Drosophila melanogaster: one gene and its partner. The protein of the gene in region 2 purifies or fractionates together with the protein of the main gene of each other region. This does not show direct contact. Each region holds a gene or a part of one and is shown on either strand. Other genes may lie near its edges. The genes, in order: Sf3a1 and Sf3a2.

Region 1 (12,224 bases), on a different chromosome or scaffold from region 2:
TCCCAATTGTAATCATTAACTAGCGATTTCCTTCTTGGCAAAATAAAAGTGTGGCAGCGTAATGAGCCGTTAGATTATACCAAATAACACTAGCGTGGCGCTGCCAACCTGCTTTTTGAATATCGTAAAGTCTAGAAATGAAGTCAGAGGTAATTTTTTAAAACTTTTTATTATAAAGAGACTTCTAAAGTTAAGTTTTTCTACATATACCTTGTTTCCGATATTTGCAAAGTTAATTAAACTGTTAATACTTCTGAAATACTTGTAGGTCCTTGAAAAGGATTCTTTAATGAATTATTTTACCATGCATTAATCTTATTTTGTCCAAACTTTGTGCATTGCTTATCCATTTTAACAGATTTCTAAGTCAAGTGCACATTTGAAAAGCGCGCCAACGAAAACATGAAACATGATAGTTTTTCTTCCAGCGACGGTCACACTAACAAATCAAATAATTGTGGTACCGTCAACAAAAGCCAAGTCTCTCGTGCTCTCCGGGTATTAAAGCCGTGGAATCGGGCAGTGCCGCATGCGGTGCTGTGTTTAATTTCCCCAACTCCCAACAGATCCGGAAGCAGTTTGAACATGGGTCCGCCAAAGCAGCTGAAACGAACCTTTCTTGGCTTCGACTTGAGCACGCAAAAGGTGAGAACTGGAACTGCCTACGTAGTATCTTTGCATCTGAGATGTGGAGGCGTCTCCAAATCGACTACATCTGGGCCAATTGCGTGCGAATGGTGTTACTGGAAAAGGTCAAACGGTACTCGGGAACTTGAAACACGAACTACTCTTATCAGTTGCGGTGACCGGGGCTCGATTTTCGCTTATCTGCTAAAGACGCGAGCGCCAACCGATTTAACTATTATGGTTTGATTATTGAAATTCATGTTCGGAGGTATTGGCCCCCGACATTATCTTAATAGAGCCGCAATAACTTTCACAATCCCTGAATGACGCTGGCGGTGACTCCTAGTTGCCCTCTATGTTTGATCGTTATTTTCGAGGTGTGTCTCCATATCGCTAATTGCTGCCCCATTTACTCCTCTCAGCTCAAAGCCGTCCTGCTGGGCTCCAGTTTGGAGGTGGTTGCCGCGGCTGAAGTGAAATTCGACACCGACTTGCCGGAGTTCCGGACCACCGGTGGAGCCAACGCTGGATCCATCAAAAATGAGTGAGTCTGTTTCACCACTATCCATTACTCCAATTGAAGATTTTAATGGGATGATTGTTTGCGTAAAGCAAATAGGGGGATATATTTTACGTTTTTATATCTTGCGCTGTGGGGTATTTGTCCGATAATACTTAGGGCCCTATTTCATAGCAGTTGTTTTATTACACCACAATGGGTCTCTATCACTTCAAGTTTTTTTTAACCTTCCTATAACAGGGACCATATATACAATGGGTACTATAAAATATATATGTGCTAACCTGACTCCACCTTTACTTGTTCTTCTTTAGATACTTTGTACAACCAGTGATGTGGGTGAAGGCCATGGACATTGTCCTGGACCGACTGGTTATGCAGCAAGCGGATCTTAGCACCGTAGCTGCCATCAGTGGCTCCGGACAGCAGCACGGATCGCTCTACTGGTCCAAACATGGAATCAACACGCTGCAAAACCTCGATTCCGAGAAGTTCCTTCACGCACAAATCGACGACTCCGCCTTTGTGGTAAATCGTACTCCGATTTGGATGGACGCCACCACCACCAAACAGTGCCTAGAGATGGAGATGGCTGTTGGTGGCAAACTTAACATGGTGGAACTGACGGGCTCGAAGTGCTACGAACGTTTTACGGGTCCCCAAATTAGAAAGATATATCAGCAACGCTGCCACGCCTACGAAGAGGCCAACCGAATCTCATTGGTCAGCAGTTTTATATCATCGCTATTTCTGGGCTCCGTCGCTCCAATTGACTTCAGTGATGGTTCCGGCATGAATCTGCTGGACATCCGCAAGAAGAACTGGTCCAAAGAATGCCTAAATGTTTGTGCACCCGATTTGGACAAGCGCCTGGACATTCCGGTCAGTCCAAATTCGATTTTAGGCAACGTCTCTCCGTACTTTGTGGAGCGCTTTAGTTTTTCGCCCGATTGCAAAGTGGCTGCTAGCACGGGGGACAATCCTTCGGCGCTGTCTGGAATGTTGGTGGGCAGCAGCTGGCTTACCATTTCCATGGGCACAAGTGACACCCTAATGATGAGCTTGAAGGAGCCGCTAAACTGGGAGGAGGGTCATATACTCTGCCATCCAACTGAAACGGAAGAATTCATGGGCCTTCTATGGTAAATTATTCCTGGGACATTATATCTTAAAATTAGTTTATTTAAATGTCTTTTTCAGTTTTAGAAATGCTTCATTGGTCCGTGAGGAAATGAACAAGAAGACAACCGGCGGCGATTGGGATAAATTCAATGAGTATCTCGACTCCACGCCCCGTGGAAACTTTGGGAACATGGCCGTGCACTTTAACGACATGGAAATCATTCCCAAGGCGCAGGGTATTCTGCGATGGAACAGGGAAATGGATCCCAGTTCCCCGGACGCGGCTAGGGGTGTAATCAAGTAAGTCTGATTGAAAATTTAGCTGTTTTAGGTCCGACATGAAAGCAATGACTCATAATCAGTTAACAGACATCTGTAAATAGTTATTTTTAGAAATGACTTTTTACCAACATGATCATGTTTTTTGTCGTTTATACTTTTTCTTAATGCCTATTTCCCTTCTACTGAATTCTTTAAAATGTATAAAATATTCCTGACCTCTTTCGCTTTATAGATTCAGCTCGCCCCAAATCGAAATTCGAGCCCTAGTTGAAGGTCAGATGCTGCATCACCGGGCTGTGGCTGAAGACCTTGGCTACAAATTCGGACCCGAGACACAAATCCTTGTCACAGGAGGCGCATCTGTTAACAAATCAATCCTGCAAACAATTGCCGATGTGTTCAATGCTCCCGTCCATATCCAGGTTAGTTCATACCAACTGTTTCTCAAGTGCAAGCAATTTAAGCAACATGTTTCTTGCAGGATGAAGGATTTGAGGCTGCCCTACTGGGAGCCGCTTATCGATCCGCCTACGCTCTGTACCTTCAAGAGGCAGGTGATGGGGTGACGCCTCTCTGTTACCGAGATTATATCCTAAGTCTGACAAGTAACAAACTGAGCCTTGTATGCGAACCACACAAGGACAGCGAGGAAATCTACGCTCCAATGCTACAACGATATCGCGAAATGGCGCGCGTCCTGTCCAATCCTAACACATAAACTCTCCGAAAGCCCAACGTAACATTCCAGTTTATACTCCGTACATTCACAAACTGATTCCTTCTTAAACGTCTCCTGTAATTGACAGAACTTAAGTGCAATTAACAAATTCTGTGATTGACGATTTATTACAAATTTATGCGAAACCATATACAAATAAATTTTTATATATGGCCCACTCCTTATTGTGTCTGGTATGCCTTTAATCTTTGATCCGCCTACTTTTTGCGTCCACCACGCTCCTTGACCTGTAAATGCACCGTGGTTCCGTTTACCAGATTGTAAAAAGCCATGGTATTGCTGTCTTTGAAGAACATTCCCTGAAGGATAGATGTTATTGAAATAATAGTTTTCGAAACATTAGTTGTATTTCTTACCTCATAAAATATCTTCTGCTTGGCCGGTGGCATGCCAGTTTCGTCCTGCAGCTTCGTCTTCAGATTGGCAATGGGTTCAGAAAGTGCCATGGTCACGGCTATCATCTGTCCATTAAGCTTCCACTCTGATTTGTCGGAATTGGGTACCAAAACCTGAATGGTCACAGGGCTCTGAAATAATTTAAGATGGGTTATATACCAATAGATAGCCAGATATCAAAATCAAACTTACCTTGTGGGTGGCAATAAAGTCTGCTTCTGGAATCAGGTTGTCCTCGCTTCGAATCTTTTTAGAAGGCGGCTCCTCCTCCATTATATCAACAGGTGGAGCAGGTGCAATTTGCTGAGGGATTCCACCAGGCTGCATGTTCATGTAGCCTCCACCACCAGCTCCAAAAGGCGGCTCTGCAAAATAAAAACGCTAAGCCCTCGACGAGATTTGCATACTATTTGTTACTTACGCATCATGGTTGGACGCAGTTGCATCAGCTGCATCACCGGTTGAGGCTGCTGCGGCGGGTGATGGTGGTGCGACTGGTGAGGTGGCGCCTGCTGATGCGGTGGATGGTGATGATGAGGATTATGATGCCCGTGGTGACCACCTCCGCCACCTTGGTGGTGTTGACTCTGGCTGGAGTGACTGTGCTGCGACTTGGTTGACGGCTGCGGCGGAGCTGAAAGCGTCGCCTTGTTGCCCACCGGTTTGGGGCCGATTTTCTCCTTCTCCTCGTCGGGCAGCAGTCCCTTAACCTTGTGGATTTGATGAATTTGTTCCTCCAGAGTGATATTTGCACGTGCTGCTCTCGTGGCCGCCTCCACGCTGGACGTGTGTCCGTCCCAGGTGACGCGATCGTCCTTCTTCGTCTCCTCTTCGCCGAGCTTCTTACCAATGACGGTCTCCTCGTCGCCCACACCAAAGATATCCGTACGACGCTCAGCCAGTTGCTTGAGACTCGCCTCGATGGCAGTGCCCGCGGCGAACACATTGTCTTGATTGATTTTCTCCACAGTATGCTTGTCTCGCTGTTCCACCCAGCGTGGATCCAATAGACCGATGCGCATGTGCTCCGAGACCTTGGAAGCCGGTATTTTCTCTCCTGTAATCGGCGAGATGAGATACTCATCCGTAGGCATTGGCGCCTGCTTCGGTTGCGTTGCCTTAGGATCGTATTTCTTGACCACCACTTTGTCGTGGGTGGGCGGCAGCATTGGCGCAACAGATGGCTGCAACTTAGTGGTTGGAGTGTCCTCATCACTAGAGGCTTCGTCCATGTCTTGCACCTGGGTGTTGTCTCTCTTGGGGCCAGTCGGCTGGCCATACGACGATACGTTCTTCATTTGTATACCCACACGGTTCTCCATTTGCGAGAGTTTCAGACCGCTGTCCAATAGGTTGTTAGCCTGGGAGTCGCCCTCGTCGTCCGACTCGATCTGCATTTCTGTATCGCCCTCTTCGTCCATTAGACGCTCTTCCATTAGCACACGGGCTCCTACCTCGTCGGGATTCGTGGGTGGCGGGAAGTTGCCCGATTCGAATGGCTGATAGTCCACCGTCTCCACCACCACAAAGTCATGCCAATCGATTTGGGCATAGGCCACGCGCTCCCTTTCGATCTTCTCCTCCTCACGGCGGCGTTGTGCTTCTTGGTGACGCTGCCAGTTGGCCCGATATTTAACCTGCTCCAGCACCTGGTTCATGCTGCTCCTGCCCGGTGCGCTCTCGGAACGCAGTTTGCCCAGCAAATCCTTTGGAGGTATCAAGACCTTGGTATACTGCTCCAGCAACTTGGTAAAGTACTGGAAGAGCGAGTGCTGGGGTCGCAGGAAGTCAAACTGAAAGTTACGCTGCTCCCGGCTCATAAGATTGGTCAGAAACTGTCGGCCGTTACGGGCCACAAATTGAGCAGTTAGCTTCACAATGTCCCTGAAAAGATATGCAAGACAATAAGACAGCGATTGGAACTTCCTGGCGAGTGGACACTTACAAATCCAGCGCCGAAATGGAGGGCGGATCGGCTATGAACTCGAATTCAGGTGGAGGTTCCTTTGGTACGAACTGCTGCTCCACCACTTGCTTGAGAAGCTCTTGCTGGCGCTGTTGGGCGGCACTGGTCACCGCCAGCTGCTTCATGCTGGCAAGGGCAGTGATACCGGCATCTGAAACGGTCTCATGTATTAAGAGGAAGTATTAATGGGAAGTGAACGAAAACATACCATTGCCCTCGCGGAACTCGTTGACCTTGTGTCTGTAGTATGCGTGGTAGGGATCTCCGCCATTTAAGAAGTTAAACTTTGGATTGCCCAGCTCATTTTGGCGGATGCGCGCCTCGAATTCCGGTCCATTGCGAGCCACAAAACTGGCGGTCTTGTCAACGATATCTAATAGTTAAAGCTTTGATAACTGAGTATGGGAAACGCTAAATGTGTATTAAATGAATGTATTTTGAGTAAAAAATGGCTAAATTGAGAAAAAAGTTTGTTTTCTTTTTGGCAAAGGATGCTTCTAACTTCCGGCGGCGGATAGATAATCCCAATGATTGGACCCGACATCGACTTGGGCTGATCATTGCCGAACTGCTCCTCGTTGGCTTCCGCGTCTAAAGTTGCCATGGCTGGTGAAATCGTCCTCTTTTATTGATAAAATCTGATTGCTTTTTGAGAAATGAGAAAACGCTTGTTTAGCCGAAAATTAGAGGTGGAAGGAATAGGGATGGAACAATCGTTGGACTGTTGCCACCGCCATCGATAGTTTTCTTACATTCATGTAGTAATGTTAGGGTGACTCAATAAACGAACTAGTTTCAAGCCGGAACTAGTGAACCACTGGCTCAGCCTATCGATTAATTTGGCGCTGGATTTAAACAATCTGTCGGACAAACCATCAACTCAGGCGTTAATAATGGCTTATAAAATCTTTACATATATATCAGTAGATGGACGGACAAAGGCGTGGGCAGAACTGAACCCCACGGATGAGGTCTTTATTTGCATATTATGTTAGTGTTGGTACGGCTTTGTACGGGTGGCTTGATTCACCAAGCCAAAACAAAAATAACATTTGTTTACGTTTGTACGACTTTATTCATTCGCTGAGAGAGTCTGCTGCCAGCACGATAGCCAGATGATGATGATGATGATTATCCAGATGATGAGGTTCCCTTGTGCGTGATAACGACCCGACTCATTCTCATTCTCATCGACTCGATTCTGTCGAGATTTGCCCCCAAGCTCAGTAGTCTACGAATCGCTGAGCCGTCGACACGGTTTAATTGGACTGAAAGCGCGGATTAGGTCCGATAGAGTCGCAGTTCGGATCACTTCCTTATCACAAGCTAGCGACGTGACTTAAATCCCATTGACGTGCGGGTATTTTGTGAATCACAACCGGTGGCTGAAAAATCCGAGTTCTAGAACAAAGACACTGCAATGGGTGGAATTCAGTACATCTGCCTGCTGGCTTTCATAATAGGAGCATCATTATTGACAACAATCGATGCTAATTGTGAGTCCGCTAGCAGTATTTAAATTAAACTCTGTGTTTATAGAGACATTTTGGTGTCAAGTATCTCATTCTCGTGCTAATTTCTTTTAAGAGAGCACAGTCTTCTTCGTGTAGAAAAGTAGACCAAATAGAGGGAAACCTATTAATTTTATAGCTTGTTATTCGGTTTATTATGATAATAAAAACTTTATTGAAGTATATAAATATTTAATTGATAAAGCAGAAAGACATTCGTAAAGCGGAGGCTGGTCGTCTCACAGCGATAAATTTCCACAATCACTACGCACTATTTAGCCTGTAATTAAGTACAAGTATTAAAAATATATACAGAAATGGGAAACTGTTTTATTGATCAATGTAAAATGTACTTTCCACTTTCTGCGAGTGCTCAAGCGTTATATCATCATGAATGACTGCATTGGTTTTTACCAGGTTTTCACATTTGTTTATTGTAATAAACATTACTAAATTGTTACATTCAAAAAACCCCATTTGCATATACTTGTTGATAAAGATTCCAATAAATTCCAAAAGCTCACCCCAAGGTTCGCATATATGAGGGCTTATCGCTGAATAAGAATTCCCAATCAACAATTGTTTACTGATCGGATCCAAATAGATTTCTATAAGCGTGAGAAATAATTGATGTTTATTTTTCGAGTAAGATGCAGAGATATTTCACTTGAATTAGCATACTGTATTCAGGTAAATATCTCTTTAATAGGGTATTCACACTTTCAATAACAATACGACTGCATAGAAACCATTCACAAAAGGCCATTTTTTATGATTGTATCGTTACCTTTGATATAGTACTTTTAAATTGTCTTGATTAATGTGTTGACAAGACAATTTGTGGAATATTCCAGAACAATTCAATTATACCGTAGATATAAATCATGTTTTCTTTAAATGAGTCAATTTACTTAAAACGGCGCCTAGAAATTGAGATTCCCAAGAGAAATGATGATAATGAAAATTATAAATTAAACTACCCATCTGAATAAACTTAAATTTAACCAATTCATTTGTATCATTTTATGAATCTTCAGCGAGCCGAGATGTTAATGCCGAATTAAACAGGATTCCTGCTTCGAAATGGTTGCAATATGTAGAAACGGCGTTGGACTCAGTAAATAGGCAAAAGCGGTTTGTACAACTGATTACTTTGAAAACCAGTTAACTTTAATGACTTACGCTGATATGTTTAGGATGTGACACTTTTCTGCTGAACTTGGTGCGCGACTTATATTTCCGTATTCGGGCTTAAATTTAAACATTATATTTTACATAATATTACTTAACCATTTTTTCAGACTGGAGGACAATCTATTAGGTTCCGATATCACTGTTAAGAACGGCAGCCTTTCACACGCTCAACTTCTGGATACTTTACCAAGCCTAGCTTCGAAGAAGGACAATAAGCTCGCCCTGAAGATCCTTAAGTCCAGCTTGCTCGTTTTCAACAGCGAATGCCTGCCTAATAATATCGATGGAGACAAGTGCCGCAGTTACCTGGAGCAAAAACCACTTCCGGAGGGCAGTAGCTTGCGAACTGAGTGTGAGAACTCACTCAAGGGAAATCGAGAGGGTCACTATGCTTTCAGAAGGCTACTTGGGAGCAGCCACTACAGGAACGGTTTCTATCAGGTGCGATCCGCTCAGAAAAACAGGATGTAGAAGATGAATTAAATGGTTTATATGGTATTTTTAGATGTTTCCCAATTCCGGAAGACGCGAAACAGTGCCGGCTGCGTGGTCCATTAGTAAGGAGCTGTATGAGCCCGATCACATTCAGATCTCCAAACAACAAACCTTCGAAAGCAATTCCAATTTGGCCCTCCCTCAGTGGGCTCAATTTGTGGAGCATGATCTTAGCAAGCCGGTGTCGCAATCAATGAGTGAGTTTCATATGATGACCTCTTCCTTTTGTACTTAACATACTTAAAACCAAAGTATATCAATTTATATATTTATATTGTTAAAATTGTTTCAATTAACGATTTCTCCGTTCCCAGGCAATGGAGCCCCAATAGAGTGCTGCAGCCGTGACCAGATCAACCTTCAGCCGCGTCACCACCACCCGGCATGTGCTCCGATTCTGTACCAGCCCGGTGGGAAATACGACGTGCCCAGCTGCCTTAACTATGTGCGAAGTGCTCTGGCCGTGGCTGATTGCAATTTCGGTGGCGCCGAACAAGTAAGAAGAATTCAATTGTGAAAAACCATGTAAAAATATCACTGATTGCTTACTTCTATTATATGTATGTAGCTCAACCAGGCCACGGGGTCCTTGGATCTATCGCAACTCTATGGTTTCACCGCAGCGGCGGAGAGAAAGTTGCGTGTTCTCGAGGGCGGTTTGTTAAGGTCAACTCCTCGTGGAGAATTCGACAACGCCCTCCTGCCCATCGCCACCGATACGGAAGGACCATCGTTCTGCGCCAGGGCAACAATTGGTGATGGCACCTGCTTTGCTGCCGGAGATTCGCGGGTGAATAGCAGTCCGTTCTCCATACTGATCTACACGATCTTCATGCGCAATCACAACAAAGTGGCTGCCGAGCTGAAGCAAAGGAATCCCCGGTGGAGCGATGAAAAGCTCTTCCAAGCTGCCAAGGCAGTCAATGTGGATATATATCGTCGAGTGGTCATTGAGGAGTGGCTGCCAGAGGTGCTCGGCCAGAAGATGTCCAGTGAGATTAGGAGAAAACAGCCTAATCGTGCTTTGGAGGTCTCCAATGAGTTTGCGGTGGCTGCCATTCGATTTTACTTCTCTATGCTGCCCAATGAGCTCCTAAATCTGACCAAGGATAACGTAGTCTACGGTACTGAGAAGTGAGTGTCACAATCTGATGAAGAATAAATTAAGAAATTCATTTCCATATAAATTACTAATACGACAAGTTGGCCAGAATCTTTAAACTTTTAATAACATTTAACTTTCTTACAGAAACAACCAATATGTGTTTATTAGCAAGGAGCTACCAACTAAAAACCTTTTTGAGCTCAAGGAAGAAATCTACAAACCAAAGTTGCAGTACACTTCCCAAAAGTTGAATAACATCCTTGAGAGTTTGCTCAATCAGGAGACCATGAAGATGGACGCTGCCTACTCCGGTGGTGTAAGCCAAATGATTTTGATATTTTATAGCTTCTGAAATTCATTTTTTAACTAACAGGTCGTCTGGCACAAGGACACCAAGCCAACCCATGCCGATATTTTGGCCTTCGATATCCAAAGGGGGAGAGATCACGGTCTGCTGCCATATTATCGGTACTTGGAATCGTGTGTGTTGTCCAGACCCGTAGAAAGCTGGAAAGATTTTGAGCATTTCATTCCCAGTGATGTAGGTCTTTTATTTATTTATTATTTATATTTTAATTTTTTTTTAATATAATTTTAAAATATTCATTCAACAAGGTCTTGGATAAGCTGAAAACAATATACGCCAGTTGGGCTGATGTGGACCTCATTGTGGGTGGTATTTCGGAGAATCCTGTTCATGGATCCATTGGCCCCACCTTCAGTTGCATTATCTGTATGAGTTATACTGCTAGCAAATGTATATATATCACTCAATTACTTTTCTTATAGCTGAGCAATTCGTACATGTTCTGAAACAAAACCAGCAAAAAGCTGTCCAAAAACACACTGAACTGGTGGAGCAATATCGCCACTTCAATGGAACCAAACTCCTTTGCCTGAATTCCGGCCTTTCAGCTGTTCCCCAGAATATCTTCCAGTTGCCATCGGCCAGGTTAGTATTGGAAAAAAAATCATAATAGATCACCTGTCACTCGCTTGAGTCACAGTCCGTACACAATTTGATTCACATTTGATATTATACTGAGTACTGGAGTGATAAGCTCAGCAACCAAAATTATCTACAACCTTAATGATTGTTTTTTCTTTCGCGTTTCCTTACAGAAATCAAATGGTCTCTTGTGAAGACGTCTAGAGGTTGACAAAACAACGCTGCTCACATTTAAGATTGTTTCCAAACCAAAAAAAAATATATATAAGAGTCAAAACTCATTAAATACCTCAATCTTGATTCTTATTATCTTATTGCTATATTGGTTGTTAACTATACGTTTTGTCTAAGGGAACATCGAATTACAGGTAGAATTACATGACATAGACATGAATTTACAGATCAATTGTGTCTGGTTGACACTTTTGATAACTCTCAATTCAGAAGCGGATCGTTAAAGTCACGCAATATTACTATACTCAAAGTTGTTGCAGAAAGTGTTGCGGACAGTGCGGTACGTGTATTTCCATTTTCAACAATTCCCATTTTCAACTGTAATGAGGGTCGCTTTTTTCTGTTATTACGTGAAGTAGTAGTCATTAAAAGGCAAGAATGTCACAATTTGCTCCAATAAAAGTTATTGGCCAATAAACGAATAAAATAGTTACCCCAGACCCTAAGCATGATTGTTTTAAAGCTCTTTATTTATGATGAAGGACTTTCTTAAGTTAGGAATGATTCATAGGCAACATACAAAATACATGATATGATAATACGAGTAGAATAAGATATAAAGTAAGTTGTATGTAGATTTAATTGATCGAAATTATGCGCGCACGTCATGACATAAGTAATTTTCATTTCCGTTTTTTGAAAAATAGTCATCAAGACGTTTTTAATGATTTCTGTAAAGATTAAAACAACCATAGAGATGCATTTTTGCGATATAAAACTTATACTTAAGTTTTATTCAAGAACACTTTCACTTTTTCGCCAATCAATAATAAGCTATTTAAGTAATGTGTTAATGGAACTTAAAGAAATTCCTAGTAATTACTATCTTTAATTGAAAGTAAGATTTGTTGTTGGTAACAGGGTCAACTGCTGACCATTTCATACGATCCCACAGTGGGCCGATATCAAAATCAAGGCCCAAGGGTAGCAGACTCTCTCATAAGGAATGGTATTCGTATTTGTATTTGTTGCTCTGCTTCCAGATAAGATTGAAAAAGTGCCTATGAGCACCAAGAGATAAGGCACACTTTTGCTTTTGCGATAACGCACCATCGCAATTTCAGGCAATCAATTAATGAGCCAG
Region 2 (10,177 bases):
AATAGGGGGACCCAATTTTTATTTCAATTGTTATCAACAGCTTACGAACTAATATCATTCAGTTTAGTCAACATCCAACAATCATCAGCAGCATGCTGGCTTTCGAGAAGGAGATCGTGGAGAAATCTAGATATTTTGATCTAATCACAAAAGAGTGTCAGGATTACCCTATGGCCAAGACAATGCCAGTTCTAAAGCAGCCCGAGAATTTCCAGGAACAAGAGGAGGACGTTGTAATGGCCGTGCAAGAAAAACTCAAATTTTTCCGCAAACTAACCAGCAATGGTCCCGCAGTCCCGACACCGCTTAAAGTCGTTGAAAAGGAGGACATAGGACATAAGGAGATACCAAAGGTGGTCAAGAAAGTTGACCGTAAAACGAAACTGCTGCAAGCCATACCAGCGGTCTTCAAACATAGCCACAATCGACGCTTTCGAAGATCCTTATTTTTAAGGTCCAACTATATCGAGCAATTTCGGCGTTGGACGGATCAAAAAAACAAGTTAAATAGAAAGCGCTTGAATGAAGCACATCAGTTGTGTTTAAAAGCCAAACACGAGCGAATTGCCTGCGAAATCGATAGATACAAGAAGCTGATCCTTAAGCAGTCCGTCCATGTGATCGAGGACATAAGAATCAGCAGCGAATTGATTCCGCTGACCAAAGAACACCATGATCGGCTGATGGAACTATCTAAGTATCCACTGCAGCAGGTAATTGTGGCCAAGTTCAATTTGGACATCTGCGGCAGTGATATCAAAATCCTGACCAGTGGCGGCTGGCTCAACGACAAAATAATCAACTTTTACATGAACCTACTGGTCGAGCGATCGGAGAAGCGTCCTGGTACAGTGCCCAGCGTGTATGCCATGAGCACTTTCTTTGTGCCCCGCCTGCTGCAAAGTGGCTTCGATGGCGTAAAACGCTGGACTAGAAAGGTGGATCTGTTTAGCATGGACCTCATACTTGTGCCTGTTCACCAAATGCTCGTTCACTGGTGCCTGGTCATAATCGATTTGCCTGCGAAAACAATGCTCTACTACAATTCAAGAGGCCGCGGTGACCCGAATCTGATGCGAGCACTAGTGAAGTACCTTCAAATGGAGTCGGAGGACAAGCTCGGGCTGTGTTTGGACACCAGTGAATTTCGCATCGAGGATGCCCAAAATGTGCCGCAACAAGACAACATGAACGATTGCGGCGTGTTCGTCTGCATGTTTGCAGAATACCTAACCCGGGATGCTCCAATAACGTTTTCCAAGAAAGACATGAAATATTTTCGCACTAAGATGGTTCTGGAGTTGACCGGCGACCAGCTGTGGAAGTAGGTGTTCTCCTATATAGAGTTTACTTTTTTATGGATTGAACTGAGCTGAGAACTATACAATAAGAACAAAAATAAAATAGTGTTTGAAAATTTAAGAATTATTTCGTGACTTGTTCTTTTGTAAGTGGAATATGATAGGAATAAACCCTACCACAATTAAATGAAATAATAATAATATATCTTTGAAACCATCAATCGACAGGCATTCGTCCACCTGTCACCATGACCGCTAAGGTTCAGCCATCGCTAACTATTACACAGCTTAATCCCATCGGAAAACTGTCAGCTGGCGGAGGAAGTGGAGGACAAACAATGGGGCCGCAGGGCGTGGCCAGCATCCAGGCGGTGCCAGTGCCGAATGTCTCTGCCAGTGTGGTCAATTCAAGCTCGGTGACGGGTGCCACATCGGCGGCCGGTGGAGCCACTGTCCTGCCACTTACCATCAGTGGCAGGGGAGCGGGAGTGGGACCAGGCGGTAATATCCTCACGGGAACTCTGACGCCCATCAAGAACGCAAGCGGCATCACTTTGGGCAAGATGATGATGGCACCAGCTTCTTCTGCCCCTGGAGCAGATGGTTCCAGCACAAGCGGGGCAACAGTGACGGGCTTTCAACGCACCTGGAATCCTGTAGTTGCTTCACAGAGCCAGTTGATGAAGGTAGGTTTCAACTATCTACATATATGATGCTTCAATTAACTATTAAAACTAAATCGTTATACAGATCGATGAGAAGGGAAGTGCTGCCACAATCTACTACGAATCTATGCCAGCCTCCGCCTCCACAGGCGTTCTATCATTGACTACGACAACAGTGACGCAGAGCACCCAGGCGCAGGCACAATTGGTTAGCAGCGCCGGTGGCAGCTTGTCGGTATCTTCGTTACCCTTTGCAAGTCACGCGACTGCCGGAGCGGGATCAGGTGGCGGCGGATCGCAGGCTACTTTTACGGTGTTGCCGTCGGGGGCTGGTGGAACAGCCACCCGAACCATTGGCCACCAGCAATTGATAATACCAGCAGGACCAAATAGTGCGCCGCCGCAGCACATGGTTATTCCGCTGCATACGTCCGTTAAGGTGACCACGGGAGCGGGCAATCCGCAACAAGCAACTGCAAGTGGAGCACTGGTGTCCAGCTTTATGCGCAAGCGGGATGCGGAAGGTTCGCCAATACGGGCGGCTAAAAATCTAGGACCCACTTTGCTTTCAATGGCTAGCAATAACAGTGGACAAAACATGCCACCGGCTCCGGGCACCACGTTCAACATTCAGCCGGTGTCCGTGACAGTGCCTCAATCAGTTGGCTCTGGGCTGACCGTAGAGGCGCTGGCCAAGAAGGAACGGGAGCGAGTCACCCATGGTGTAGCAAGTAGCGCCGCTAGTGTGCCTGCCACAGTTGGCCCCGTGAACTCAACGAGAAATTCGAGGGCGGACTCGCCGGCTTCGTCGGACGGCTCAACTACAGTGTCGGCGAATTCCTCACCTGGTGTGGATCAGCAATTACAGGACAGGATTGGCGATCAGCCAGCCACGGGAGGCGCTGGTGGGCGCGATAATTCCACGCATTTTAATCCCATTAATGAGGTGTGTACACAACAATCAATATATGCTTAAGTATGGCTTTAATATTTGTTCTTCAAAAGATGTACTCATCACACCAATCGATTCAGCAGAACCTTGGTCACTCCTCACTGGGAGCCCGCAGTGGTAGCAGTGCCTTTGTGGATGTGCAAGCACCAACGCCGCAGCAACAGCAGCCTCAGCAGGTGCCTCATTTGGTGGGATCGACGCAGATGCAACAAGGAACGCGTATGAATGGTACTGGTAATAGCTCCAGCTCCAGTTATGACTGCTCCTCTAGGAAAAAGCCGCGACGATCGACGTGAGTTATTTGAGTGGTTGTATCAAATGATGCATGTTGATAATCTGATAATGTATTTGCCAGCAATGACAGCCAGCACTCTACGCAGAGTCAAGCATCCTTATCGCTGCCACCTCCAAGTTCGGAGCCAACGCCGCCGGCTGGCGCTTCGTACATGCAGAAGCACAACAATGGAGGACTACTGGTGACAGCAGCGACCCCGGGTGTTGCTCCCAACAGTGCGCCAGGCGATGCCAACCACCGGAACAGTACACCTGCTGTGGCGGGCAACAAGGAGAACGCAAATCCCGTCGACTTTGTGATTCGTCGTCCGCGCAATTGTGCTTTGCTCAATGTAAGTTGAAGGTTCAGTTCATTTTGTGGTAGTTAACAAATGATTCCGTTGATCTACAGACGTATAAGCCCACACATAAGTTGGCCAACAATCATTTTCATCGGTACACTGATGTTAAGCCAAGGGAGGAGCGGCGGGCCACAGTCATTGATCTGGCCAATCAGCCAAATGTGCAGGGCAAAATCAATGGATGGAAAATTTATCATTTACGCTCGCAAATGGAGGACTTGGTAAGCAATGGGCACGAAAGTATTGGTAGGCTACTTTGACTGAACTGATTTCTTACAGAATGAATCGGAAGTCTTTAGTCTGGGCAGGCTGGAGACCATGCTGCAGGATCTCGAAAAGGACAAGGAGAAGCACAGCGAAATTGAGCGAGTCACTGAACTGCTAAAGGTGCGCTCTTATACTTATATCCATTATGCTTGAATCTCAACATAAAACCAATTTACTTTGCAGGGAAACATTCAACGCAGCAAGATTATTACCGATGGCATCAACGAGGCACAGAATCAGTTAATGAAGATCTTCGAGCATAAGCCACACGTTTCTAATATAATCACCCGCTGCGCTTCGAAAAGGAATTTCAAGAAGCGCGAAAAGATCTAAAAGTAATTGACGAACGGAGATGGCCAGCCAAGTGTGTATTAATAAGTTGTACATTACCTAATTTAAGCAGAAATTATAGAATCCAAGATAATTACCTTAAACGCGATCGATTTGTAAGTCGTACAGCTACAAAGAAAACCAGCAATATTTTTTCAATTTATTAAGCTAGAAACACAAATACAAAAACCCTCGAGTTGTATTAAGTAGAAAATTGTTTATTATTTGAATATTTCTGTGGTAATCGGCTTGCGTTTGGAGAAATCCCGTAAACATTGTCGATGAATTAGTTGTTTGAAAGCATGGGTGGCGGTGGATGAACGCCATTGAACATGGGATGCATAGCAGGACGTGGCGGTCCCGGCATGGGGAATCCGCCTGGGGGGCCTAGTGCCCTATGTAGATTCGGCGGCGGTGGCGGCAGGATCTTAGGTTCGAACTTGAAGGCGAACTGAAGGAAGAACTGCTTGGTGTCACGGTTCCAGTGCGTCCAGAACTTGCCCTCACTCTTCTCCACTTCGCGGGACGGCACCTTGAACCCTATGGTCTCGTACGGCTCGGCGGCAAAGAGAAGGTACTGCCACTTGCGGTCTGGCGGCTCGATCTTTTGCTCGTAGGCGGACATGAAGCGGTGACGCGGAACAATGGACTCCGTGATTTCCGGGTAGTCCACCTGAAAGAGCAACGACTGCTGGCCGTTGCTGAGTTCACGCTGCTTGGTCACCCGGTAGCCGGGTCGTCCAATCTTGACGAACTTCTTCGGTTCCACGCGGGGCTTCTCGGGCGCCAGCAGCGAAGAGGGTGCCTCCTTTGCCTCCTTGGCGGCTCTTCTTGCCAGATTATCCTGATGCTTCTTGCCCTGCGTGTGGGCCAAATAGCTGCCCTCGTTGTTGTGCAGCGTCAGGCAGAGTTTGCACTCGTAGGAGCCCAGATGGTTCTTCATGAAGTACGGATCCTTGTTCAGATCGATTGTCTCCAGGGCCAGTTGACGCAGTCGCTCCTTGCGGTCGCGGTTCGTCTCCGACCAGGAGGCTACGCCTCCGCTGCCGGTCTTGCCGCCGGCGCGGTTTTGGAAGTCCATTTTGTAAACTTTATTTTAGTTTTCAACCGCACGAAGGAAAAACGTTTTGCGTTGGTAAAATTTCATGAAAATTTGTTGTACAGAACAGGGTTGTCAAGAAACGCCAATTCGGTTAGGGGTGGTAGTTTATCAGAGTCAATCGATAGTTCGTGTGCAGGATTAAAGTATTAAATAAATAATAGAATGTTTCATAAATCCATTAAAATTCTTAATGATAGTCAAATTTTTGCAAACTGTAATATACATAAAATAACTTATATATTCCTTTTGCGATGTTTTTTTAAAGAATTACATATAATATTTTGGTATATTTTCGTTCCGAAGCTTTGAGAATATTTTACTTTTTCAAAGCGGTCACACTATTAATTCGAGCTGCACATGCTTGATCTTTTTTAGAATTTAAAAAGTGAAAAATGTCTAGACAGCGATCTAAACTAAAGTAAACTAGTGTTGGTGACAAGTACTAGGCCTCGAAAAGCGTGTTTTATTTAAATGTCACTGCGTGGATTACGTCGGACTTGAGAAAAATCGAAGCAACGAGTGTTTAAGAATTTCGATTTCTGTCGTCATTTTCGTGGAATAAACAGTGCCAGTGTCTTATGCGATTTTTAAAGTAACCGCGAAATGGACAACTCCAGCAAACAGGTCATCATGGGTCCACCGGCGCCAATGACCACCACTTCTAATCAACCGAAGCCCGGTAATCCCACCAGCGCCCCTCCTCCACACGCCACCAAAACTGCTGCAGCTCCGCCCAAGCGAATAATTAAGAAGATTCAGCTGGATTTCAACAAGCTCAAGGAGGCTGGACTCGATAGGCAGCTGGCCGAGGTGCTTAGGAAGCAGAAGCTGGATGCCAAGAGGGTGGACGCCCCATCGTCCACCAGTCTTTCCACCTCTGCCGCAGCGCAGTCGACGCCAACTGCGCCAGAGAGCAAATTGCAGTCGCCACAACAACAATTGCGTCAGCCTGGTAATGCATACTTGTATATATATATATTTGCTTTAAGCTGTGCATCGCCCAAAAAACCGTTACAAACCCAGGGGTTTTGTACCAAGTGATACGAAAATCGTCTAAATGCTTCTACGAGTTTTGGGCACAGTACCGAAAACCAAAACGATGGTGCAACTGATTGAGACGCCGACAGATTGTCAAAGAGTTAGTTTTTGTATTAATTGTTCTGAGTTCGTCTCGCAGTGAGTGCGGCGCCTTCACTTTCTTTTCGTGTATCTCGATATATTTTATTTTTTACGTATTTCGAATGGCAACCTAAAATAATTTTTTTTAGTTTAAAAAAGTCTATTTTTGTTAAAAATTCAGGTCTATAGGTTAGAAATATTAGGATGGCTAACCATCTGTATCTGTATCTGAACATCTACAATATGTTCACTTGTCAAACAGGACGTTATTATTTCCAAAACATACTGCCAATAAAATTTATATTGAATAACATAATTTGGTATTTAATTATTTAAAACGATCGATATTTTAATAAGCCAAGAGAATCACATGTTTTACAAGGATATTTTATGTATATTTTAATATTCTTTTAATAAATAAATTTAAAAAACCAAAAAAAAATTAATTCGGGACATTTAGATTAGTTGGTACTTTTCTTTGAAATGAGATGAAATATACTGCTAATACTAGAACACTTCAATATTTTTGTCGTTGTTGTTAAATGTAACACAAAAAGTTTTTAACGAAAACTTTTTTTTAAATTTTAACAATTGAATAATGAGTTTAATCAATAATCATTTAATTTTTGTTGTTGTGTGATAGAGTACTAACTACGTAAAGCCATAAATTATGAAAATTTAATTGGTCAAAAGCAAATAAAATTTTACACTTAATTGTAAAATAGGGATAATGAGCTTAATTCATAAATATGATACCCTTGAAAGGGTAAATATTTTTTTTGACTACTCGTCTGGCAAACTAGATTCAAGACCCACTCGTGCCACAACAATTCGTACTCTTTCGGTGGTTCAATCGTCAAGTGCGCGCTCAAAATGAGGTTAGGGACGAAGCGTCGATGCGAGGCAACATAATTCCCTTTTTGGCCCGGGTTCAAATCCCATTGCGGTCAAACTGCCGTTTGTGTGTGCGATTGTTTTTGCTAATACATGCTCTATATGGTTTTATTTAATGTTTGCTTTAACAATGAATTGCATCTTTTATGTATAAGATGGCTTATTTCGCTTTAAAACTGTGCTCCTTTAACTTTGCTCCTAAGTTCTTCTGCTTATAGTTTCCTTTATTAATTATGTTTCACTTTTATAATTTTTAGCACCTCAGCCTCTAGTAAAGCGTTTTATGATCTCGGAACACATCGAGAAGATAGTGCCCATCCAGCCGACTCCAAATCCAACGGATGGTGACCGTTCCAAACAAGTGAAGGCGCTATTAAAGAACAGAATACTAAACAAGAGCTTAATCACGAACACGCAGGCTCAGCAGAAGCCCACAACTTCCAAAGCAGCGCCTAAGATGCCACCACCTGTTTGCCACGAAACAGCTCCTCGCAGTGGCGGGATTTCCCCAGCTCCGGCAGCCTCTTCCATGTCCATTGCCAAGGCGGACTTGACTGTCCGACAAAAGCAGCCGCCACTTTTGCTCAATTTGGTAAATCAGCTGCCCAAACATCGAGCCATGTGCGTATCGAGTGACAGTCCCTTAGTGAACCCGCACGGGACAGTGCATCAAGTTTCCCCAAGTCCACAGAGGATTCCAGTACAGCAAACTACGAATGTTTTTAGCCAACCATATCCACCTCCAGAGGTTCCTATAGCTCGAGCAGCTCCTACGGTTCCCACACAACTTCATAGGAGTCCAACACCGCCGCTAATTGTGCTGGAGCATAAGGTGTTGGCACCCAACGAGAAAATCGATTTGAGTGGGCTTCGGCTGCCCAATGCTCCGGTGGAAGCTACAAATTCTCCGGATAGCGCTGCAACACCAAATATCCAATCTAAAGTGATCAAGGGCAAGGTTATTATGAACGCCAATAAGTTTAAGGTTTCACGGGAAAAACTGGCCGAGATGGCCAAAGAGATTCGTAATCAGGCGGATCAGGTGAAACAACCTCAAGCTATGAAAACACTTAATTCAAAGGATGTTATTTCCACAATGGATACTCATTTCACTATTAACACAATACTTCAACCAAAACGAACGTCGCCCTTTTCATCACCAACTCTGAAAGGAAATATTGCTCCTTTGTATAATCCAAAGCCAAATAAAGCAACAGACTTTTCAGCTGGCTCAAGTATTCGTTCAAATCCATTACCTGTAGAATCAACAAAACAAACAATTATTGAATCGAATGAGTCTACTGAAGACAAGGCAATAGACTTTCCCACATCAGTGCCTACAACACCTGGAAATCGTTATTCGTCTGAACCAAATCAGGCCACTTCTAATTCCGTGGAACTAGAATTAGTTTCCAATTTAGAAACGGAAGGAGTTATGGCAGTTGCTAACCCAATTGATTTTCCTGTATATATTCCCTCAACTCCTGATCCGACTACCGAGTCAAGCCCTCTTAAGTCCTTTAATGAACCAATCAATTATCCAGAGGTGAATGCACTTGGATCAAGTACTCCTGTATATATTCCTATAACTTCGGAAAGAGGGCATTTAACTGCTGAGGTTACCACAGAATCGAACCTGGTTGATTTGCCTGAACCAGAAAACATACCTAAAGATATGAACGCCGACTTGGTTCAATCTGTTCCTTTAATATCCAAATTGAATAGGGAACCGAACACAGAAATAGGTGATATGCATTCTCAAGCGGACACATCAGCAGTGAGTCAAGAACAATCGAGTTCTTCTGCGGCCACATCACCAGAGCATAAAATCCAATCCGCTGTAGATTTCATAGCTCAATTGACCGCTGAAAATCCGCTCGATGAAAGCAGCTTTATGGATCTTTCACCGGAAGAGCAAAGATTGAGTGCTCTATTTGGATTTGGAGGATGTTCGTTTGCTAGTTCATCGGTTACGCAACCCGAGGAGGAGGAGCTACCCATCGGAAAGATTGTTAAAATGGACGATATGAATATATTGCATGCTACTTTGGATATAAGCAGCGACAGTACAAATGTACTGAGGATTAGCCCGAACGCAGTAAAAATGCAAAGCAGTGTAACATCATTGAGTACACCATTGGTGGACTTACAAGTGGGAGACTCAGCTCTGGAGGACACTAATATACACAATAACTTCCCAAACCCAGTAGATAATACCACTGCAAGCGAATTGCAAAATGTGAAATCTTCGGTAACCGAGACCTCAATTCAAGAGGCCAACGATGAAACAACTGTTATCACAACTTTGCCAAAAAAATGTGACGAAAAATCACAAGTGCCTTTGGAAGAGGTCAAGACAGCGTCAGATCCAGAGCCCTTAAAGGAGGTCAATCCTCCTGTGAAAAGGGCACCTATCAGATCCAAAAAAGCTAAAATTAATCTAGTGCAACGCACCAAAAGACCAAGCATCCAAAAGCCAATTGAAGTGAAGAAAGCCAAGTTAGATTTTGAGGAGGAGGACGAGCAGGCGATGGCTATCGATCACAGCCTGATGGAGGATCGATACGGAGTCCCAGGAATCGAGGTAAATGACAATTCAGCTAGCACGAGCTCAGACCAAATAAATCATAATTTATCTAGTGTTAAAAACAATCCAAAGGTGCCAGCAGATGAGAAGCAGTGTGAAGAAGAAATCAGTCCAGTTCAAGATGAAGATTCAGCGAAAAGCCAAGCCCATGAGGACAAAGATGATGAGAGTGAAATAAGTTACCAAAAAGAAGATAAAATTCAGTCAAAATCATCATCGGAACGAGACCTAACCCAGTTATACCACCCACCCAAAATGCCTAAGAATAAATCTACACACAAGACCAGTAGTCAGGAAGACTTCGAGGTTCCACAGCCCGCATCGT

Evidence for each region.
Region 1: the proteins of Sf3a2 (region 2) and Sf3a1 purify together in Drosophila melanogaster (affinity purification with mass spectrometry, with the first as the bait; one large-scale study listed by BioGRID). This does not show direct contact.

Annotation. Positions count from the first base shown.
Region 1 is NT_033777.3:16,996,004-17,008,227, forward strand, and holds Sf3a1 (splicing factor 3a subunit 1), read right to left. Parts: upstream 6,353-12,224; 5' UTR 6,257-6,352; coding exon 6,148-6,256; intron 6,026-6,147; coding exon 5,861-6,025; intron 5,804-5,860; coding exon 5,632-5,803; intron 5,571-5,631; coding exon 4,108-5,570; intron 4,052-4,107; coding exon 3,879-4,051; intron 3,818-3,878; coding exon 3,647-3,817; intron 3,590-3,646; coding exon 3,488-3,589; 3' UTR 3,381-3,487; downstream 1-3,380. Other genes in the region: CG3534 (uncharacterized protein), read left to right, coding at 586-645, 1,050-1,171, 1,462-2,289, 2,348-2,569, 2,784-2,973, 3,033-3,269; Irc (Immune-regulated catalase), read left to right, coding at 7,073-7,148, 8,201-8,297, 8,465-8,798, 8,863-9,049, 9,167-9,348, 9,421-9,986, 10,102-10,273, 10,331-10,498 and 3 more.
Region 2 is NT_037436.4:12,808,677-12,818,853, forward strand, and holds Sf3a2 (splicing factor 3a subunit 2), read right to left. Parts: upstream 5,344-10,177; 5' UTR 5,232-5,343; coding exon 4,437-5,231; 3' UTR 4,352-4,436; downstream 1-4,351. Other genes in the region: Sap130 (Sin3A-associated protein 130), read left to right, coding at 1,530-1,987, 2,052-2,912, 2,972-3,210, 3,274-3,544, 3,604-3,774, 3,833-3,940, 4,004-4,153; CG32110 (uncharacterized protein), read left to right, coding at 93-1,328; CG42588 (uncharacterized protein), read left to right, coding at 5,856-6,204, 7,523-10,177.